Arabidopsis thaliana: one gene and its partner. The protein of the gene in region 2 purifies or fractionates together with the protein of the main gene of each other region. This does not show direct contact. Each region holds a gene or a part of one and is shown on either strand. Other genes may lie near its edges.

What was found. Proteins that work in one complex are often made in the same cells at the same time.
Region 1: the proteins of TIP1 (region 2) and CESA1 purify together in Arabidopsis thaliana (affinity purification with western blotting, with the first as the bait; one study listed by BioGRID). This does not show direct contact.

Annotation. Positions count from the first base shown.
Region 1 is NC_003075.7:15,645,219-15,648,972, forward strand, and holds the start of CESA1 (cellulose synthase 1), read right to left. Parts: upstream 1,627-3,754; 5' UTR 1,171-1,626; coding exon 1,090-1,170; intron 563-1,089; coding exon 367-562; intron 269-366; coding exon 96-268; intron 1-95. Other genes in the region: AT4G32420 (Cyclophilin-like peptidyl-prolyl cis-trans isomerase family protein), read right to left, coding at 2,332-2,635, 2,761-2,829, 2,916-3,754. UniProt on the Arabidopsis thaliana protein: Catalytic subunit of cellulose synthase terminal complexes ('rosettes'), required for beta-1,4-glucan microfibril crystallization, a major mechanism of the cell wall formation. Involved in the primary cell wall formation.
Region 2 is NC_003076.8:6,874,604-6,878,357, forward strand, and holds the start of TIP1 (Ankyrin repeat family protein with DHHC zinc finger domain-containing protein), read left to right. Parts: upstream 1-1,837; 5' UTR 1,838-2,168; coding exon 2,169-2,426; intron 2,427-2,530; coding exon 2,531-2,671; intron 2,672-2,792; coding exon 2,793-2,905; intron 2,906-3,400; coding exon 3,401-3,480; intron 3,481-3,581; coding exon 3,582-3,745; intron 3,746-3,754. Other genes in the region: BG5 (beta-1,3-glucanase 5), read left to right, coding at 184-1,248.

The DNA.
Region 1 (3,754 bases), on a different chromosome or scaffold from region 2:
ATTAACGTGAATAGTAAGTAATAAATGACCACTCTAGGGATTTATTGAGTAATACAAATCACTCTAGAGTCTAAAGGGAAAATGTAGGTCCCTACCGTATGGCCATGGGTGAGAAGAGGAATTGGTTGAGATTCATGTCTAGAGGAAGAAGAAAACTCTTCGCCATGGCGTTGGTGTCTCGCCTTGTTAGCTCCCTGGGCGTAATTGAACTCATTCTCGATATCATCAACATCATCCTCATCTTCATCTCCTTCAACACGAGGACTCCCTGGAAAATTCCAAAAAATTGTTCAACACAACAGCAAAGAAACAAAAAGAGAAAATCCATATATAGCAATTGCCAACAAAAAGAAAAAGACAACTGACCCCTGTGTCGTCTGAATCTAGTCTTGCATTGAGGGCAACACTGAGTTCCATCTTTCCTCTCGTACTCATAGCAAGGCCGACACACAGGGAAGGCACATTCATTACACGCGACAAAGACATCTCCAGTTTCAGCGAGTCCAACATCATCACCACAGATCTGACATATCTGGCCATTCATATTCTTCAAAGGTTTGGTCTGCACTTTGACCAACATTGCATCATTGTTAGTCATTGAGTATTAGAAACTACAGAAAGAGATGAGCAAGGATCTAAATCAAAACAATCAATGCAGATCTGAATTAAGGCGAGTCACAGTCTGTATCCCATGGCGGGAACTAACGAGATCTAGTTGAGCTAAATCTCAATAAGTAAAGCTAAACTTTAAGAGTCAAAGATTTTAGCTTAAAAAAGTTAACGAACTGAAATCCACCGACACTTTCCATAAGAGATTTTAAGAAAACAGATGCGGCATTAATTGATATAGATCACAACAATTTGAAGAATTGGAGCAGAAAAGTTTCCATTTTCAGACACTTACTTGATCAACTGACACTAACTAACTACACAGTCAAAGGAAGCGAAATCTGAGTTTCAATGATCCAATTATGGATCCAAAAGAGACGAGATTTAGAAACAGAGAAATCTAGATGAGATCTACACATCAAAAATTGTAAGAACGAAAAACAATAACAAAAAAATGGGAAAAAGGGAAGATGAACAGACCCCGCCATCAGATTCATGTCGGATCCGAACGAGCTCGTTTCTCCGGTAGGATCCAGCAACCAAGCCGGCACTGGCCTCCATCGCAGCCACCGACACACAGAGAAAGAGAGAGATTCACAAAATTCAAAATTGGGAAATTCGTAGCCGATTCAATACGGCATCTCGAAAACCCAAATCTACTAAAAAAGGATGTTCACACACTCCTCTGTCACTCTCTCTCTCTATTTGATATCTCAAGCTGCTTCTTCTTCAAATCTGCTTTTGCCTATTTTATCGCAGAGTGATGTGTTTTTTCTTAATTTTTAAATGACAAGTACATTATTTTACCGGAGATGGTGACGGTAGTAGTAGCCTCTTCCTCTCCCACCGTTTTAGCTCAGCTCGGCTCTATTCGGCTCAAGTTATCATCTCTCTACTTTTTAAAGTGAGCCGTTCTGGCTTCCCCACTAGACGCGCCAGCTTCTTAGTATGTGACGTGGCAAAATCTTATTGCAAGAAAGAGATAGGACAAAGTATGATTGTTTGATTATATTAAAAAAAAAAAAGAAGAAGCCACGTTGTTGTTGGCTCTGGTACCAGCCTGTTCTTTTTTATTTGCTATCACCTGTCGGTGGACTCAAAATAACTAGTGTTGATTAGGTTCTAATTGTTAGCTTAAGAAGTTACGGGCGAATTCGCAAATAATTTTTAAATGGATGCCACTTCTTTTTTTAATCCCATTTTGTTGTTATATTTACAAGTTTTAATTCAGTATACAGATTTCTGAGTTTTAATTCATTTTTTGTGTCAATAAACTTTTAACAAAAAAAATTCCATTAAGAAATCATTTTAACATTTTTATATTTAGTGATAGTGATAATGACGGTGGTATAGTGATATGATATATATGTAGGAAGAAATCGTAAATTATATTGATTATCCAAATAAATAAATTACGATGTCGTTGTTCTAAAGTTTGGTGACAAACGTCACATTTAGTTATGCTTAATTTTATGAAAGTTTAATTATTGGACCAAAACCAACTCCGCAACGAATAATGGAAGTTAACATTTGTCGGCAAATGGCAACAAAGAAAAAATGTCGGCAAACATCAACAGAAATTTTTAACAATCTTGGAGCATAATCAAACAAACATACGCAAAAGACAATGCTTATGTTTTACAGAAGTAAACTACTTACTCTCTTTACCATCTCTTCTCAGTAAAAAGAACAAACACTTAACTTAAGGGTAATCATTATTCATTAATCATAGGCTACTAATCCCTTTTTCCCACCTGGGCTATTATCCGAGGATGTCGAATCCGACTTCGATGGAGACCTTGCCTTGGATGGTGATCTTGACACTGATCTTGCTTTCCCCGTCCCAATGGGAGATTTTGAATATGACTTTGATCTTGATCTTGACCTCGATGGACTCAGGCTGTGGCTAGCGGATGGTGACCTTCTCTTTCTGTAAGGTGGAGATCGGCTACGGATAGGGCTGCGGCTGTACCGCCGGTTGCGATAACAGAGACCAGGCGATACTGAGCGGCTTCTTCTTCTATACCTGAGCATACTTTCGAGTTGTGAAATCAAGAATAATTCTTTTGGATCACCAATTTTAGTTCCATATTCATGAAACTTTTAGATGTAAAGAATCAGCTGAAACAATGTACTAAAGAGGATAAGTACCTTGGAGGTGTTCTTCCTCTTAGTGGGCTTCTGAACCGACTTGGCGAGAACCTTCTGCGACTTCTAAATCTACAGAGAAGACGTTATAAAAAAGACGGTTCAGTACGAGAGTGTGTAACAGAAAGGGGGAGTTATATTATGTGTGGGCTATTCACCTGTCACGGTCACTCCTATCACTAAAGCGATAAGGAGATCGATCAGGAGATGGACTAGTTCTGTATCGACGGGCGTATGAGAATCTTTGGCTAAATCCTCTCCCTCTCCTTATGCGCCCATTAGGAGAAGCACTTCTTGACAAACTTCTTCTGCGGTCAGGAGGAGGAGATCTAGGCCGCACACTCCTTCTCCTTGCCGGAACTGGACTTCTGCTAATTCTTCTTCTTCCTCTAACAGGACTCCTGCTGATACTTCTCCTGGACAATCGAATAGGACTCCTGCTGATACTTCTTCTGGACAATCGAATAGGACTCCTGCTCACACTCTTCCTAGATGATCGGACTGGACTCCTGCTGATACGTCTCCTGGATGAACGAACCGGACTTCTGCTCACACTCTTCCTAGATGATCGGACTGGACTCCTGCTCACACTCTTCCTAGGTGATCGAATGGGACTCCGGCTTAGGCTTCTCCTAGACAATCGAGTGGGACTCCGGCTCAGACTTCTTCTAGATAATTGAATAGGACTCCGGCTCAGGCTTCTTCTAGAAGATCGAACTGGACTTCTGCTAGGTGATCTTCTTGACGATCTTCTTAGTGGGCCCCTCCCAAGGCTTCCACGAGATGCAGATCTTACAGGACTCCGGCTAGGGCTTCTGGCAATCCTACCTCTCACTGGACTTCTGCTGATGACCCTTTTGGGGCTCCTCAGTGGACTTCTGCTTAAACTCTTTGAAGGACTTCTACTAATATCTCTTTCCTTTTTCACCCGCACCGGACTTCTACTAACACTTTTGGTAGGGCTCCTTCTGACATGCCTGCCCTTTTCCTCACTCCC
Region 2 (3,754 bases):
TACTATTTTATTCATACCAATAAGACTGAAAATAGACTCAGATATGCATCTATATATGCAAACAAATATTTTGCAACAAAACATAATAACACAAATCAAGTTTGGTTCTCTTCTTCTTCTTCATAGAAGTACGATCTTAGGATATCTCTATATACACACATTTTGCAGAAAAAAAGTTTCATCATGCTCTATTTGCCTAAGAAACTCTTCTTGTTCTTCTTCTCGTGCATTGTGGTGATTGTCAACTACAACAATAGTGACTTCGTAAACGCAGCAAATAGCATTGGCTTCGTAAACGCAGCAAATAGCATTGGCTTGAACTACGGTCTCCTCGGAGATAACCTCCCATCTCCGTCAAAAGTTATAACCCTTTACAAGTCCATAGACATCACTAAAATCCGAATCTTCGACCCAAACACTGAGGTTCTTAACGCTTTACGTGGCCATCGTGATATTGCGGTCACAGTAGGAGTTAGGGACCAGGACTTGGCTGCTCTTTCAGCTAGCGAAGAAGCTGTTAAGGGCTGGTTTGCGACCAACATCGAGCCTTACTTATCCGACATCAACATCGCGTTCATTACTGTTGGTAACGAAGTCATCCCCGGACCAATCGGTCCTCAAGTGCTTCCAGTCATGCAGTCTCTCACCAACCTCGTCAAGTCAAGGAATCTTCCTATCTCGATAAGCACGGTGGTGGCTATGTGGAACCTCGAGCAATCATACCCACCTTCCGCAGGAATGTTCACGTCTCAAGCGCGTGAACAACTTGTCCCCGTGCTGAAACTATTATCCCAAACAAATTCGCCTATCCTCGTAAAAATCTACCCTTACTTCTCCTATGCGTCCGACCCATCTAGCATCCGTTTGGACTATGCCACCTTCAACACTGAGGCCATCGTGGTACAAGATGGATCACTGGGCTATTCAAACATGTTTGATGCAATCTTTGATGCGTTCGTGTGGGCAATGGAGAAGGAAGGCGTTAAAGATTTACCAATGGTGGTGTCCGAGACCGGATGGCCATCTGCCGGGAATGGAAACATTACCACGCCGGATATCGCGGGTACCTATAACAGAAATTTCGTGAAGCATATAGCAAGCGGAAAAGGTACACCTAAAAGGCCTAACAAAGGCATCGACGGGTTTTTGTTTGCAACTTTCAATGAAAATCAAAAGCCGGTCGGGACTGAACAAAACTTTGGGTTATACAATCCGAATGATATGAAGCCCATCTACAATCTATTCTAATATGTGTGAAAGTTGCTTAGACTTTCCCGATTCATCAATAATTATGTTACACTAGTTGTTAGTGAATTAAAGTAAAACTAACAGTGATATATACACATACTATAAGCAACTGAGATGATGAGATCTCGTCGCGGAACTTAGTTGACTTTTGTAAAATTATTATTATTTAAAAGCAATTTCTCTGGTTTAGTAAACGTACTATGTTTCTTCATATATTTTTTTTTCTTCTAAAATCATTCCATTATGTTTCTTCATCTATTAATACAAGAGTATGCATTTTCAAAATAATACTTTTTTTATATATATATGCAAACCAGTGTTTTTTTTATCAAAATAAGAAATCACTGTCCCAAAATGATTCAATAGTTCAAGGTTTTATAAAAGATTTCTTAACATTTATAATATAACTCTTTTTGTCAAGATATGAAAAATGAAAAAGTATCTCTTATGATTAAGACAGATGTTTTGATTCGTTCATATTCCATTGAACTATATATATATCACTCAACTAGCCAGGTATAATATTTCCCATTACATACAAAAAAAAATGATCATGAAATTAATCAATTTATAAATGTTGGTTTTTTTTTTTTTGGTTAACACTAAAACCAAAAAATAAAATAATGTTGGGTTTTGTTTGACAAAAAAAAGTTAATGAAATGAATGAACGATAAGAATTGAGAGCAAGTCTGTCTCTGACCCGTCTTAATCCGATTCTTAGTCAATTTTTTGAGTTCGTCAATCATATTCTTCTTCTTCTTCTTCCTCTGATTCCCCCAGAAAAAACCTAGCTCCTTCCCTCATTTCCCCCCAAATCTCACGACTTATTTATGCTCGGGGGAGACTAATCAAAGGTCAAAATCCATTAGGGAGGGAATCGAATCTCGATCGATCTCAATTTCTTCTGAGAAAAGAAAAAAATGTCATCGGAGATTGAGGTGGTGGAAGAAATCCAATCGAATCCCAAGGAGAATGGGGAATCGAGTTCTAAAGGGATTGAAGAAGAGAGCTTGAAGAACGATGTCTATACTGCTGCCGCTTATGGTGATTTGGAGAAGCTTCATAGATTGGTTGAGTGTGAGGGTTCCTCTGTTTCCGAGCCTGATGCTCTTGGCTACTATGCTCTTCAGTGGTCTGCCTTGAACAACCGCGTCGCCGTTGCCCAGTACCTTATCGAGGTTTTGTGTCATTTTACGAATTGTTTGTTGATTGCTAAATTAGATTTGAACTAGTGGTTTTCAAGTTTCTAAAACTGATCCTTCTCGATTTCTGGTTTTTCCAGCATGGTGGAGATGTAAACGCGACGGATCATACTGGACAGACTGCATTGCATTGGAGTGCTGTTCGTGGTGCGATACAAGTTGCAGAACTGTTATTACAAGAGGGTGCAAGAGTAGATGCAACGGATATGTATGGCTATCAGGTTCATATCTCTTCTTTAACTACGCGTCCATGTTCTCTGCTGACTTCTATCAAATTTCCCTTCTTTTCTTGTTTAGTTCTCAATGGGTGTATGTTAATACTTAATTTTGAACTGCTTGTAGGCAACACATGTTGCCGCACAGTATGGCCAGACTGCTTTTCTTTGTCACGTTGTCTCAAAGTGGAATGCTGATCCTGACGTGCCTGATAATGATGGAAGAAGCCCCTTGCATTGGTATGCTTGCTGCAAAGCTTGCCTTCGTGAAATTGTTACTTAGTAATTGGTTTTTGGCTTCTTTTTATTTTTTCTTACAATTGTTTAGCCTTGCACGCTTATTTGGAGACTGGATAATTGGTTTTATTTGTTCCCTTTTCTTATTATTCCTATAGATTTAATATCTCTTCGTTCAATTTTGTTCTAGTTGCCAAGTATACTGGGTGGATTAGAATTAATTTTTGTCAACTATTTGCCTATGATAGTTCTCGAGTTTTTGTTATGAAGATTTGTGAATACGTATTACTGTTTTCCATCTAGAGACTAAGGTTACATAGGTTATTTTCTCTCCCGTTTTTCTTACTGAGACTTCGTTACCGTTACATGGATTATTCTACTGCATGATTTTTAGCTTTCTTATGTTGACCTTTTGATTTTATCCTATTTTTACAGTATCTTTTCAGAAGACAGTTCTAATTTCGTCTTTATATTCTTCTCATAATTTGAGAAATTCAGGGCTGCATATAAAGGTTTTGCAGATTCCATTCGCCTACTTTTATTTCTAGATGCATATAGAGGACGACAAGACAAAGAAGGTGGTTACAAACATATTTTTTTTTTAAATCTTCTTTGTTTATTTTCTTAGATTAACTATACGTTTCTAACATCTTCTCCGTTATATTGATTCTGTTATCAGGTTGCACTCCTCTGCATTGGGCTGCCATCCGAGGTAATTTGGAGGCTTGCACTGTCTTGGTGCAGGCTGGAAAGAAAGAGGATTTGATGATTACTGACAAGACTGGGCTAACCCCTGCGCAACTTGCTGCTGAAAAGAATCACAGACAAGTTTCTTTTTTCCTTGTAGGTATC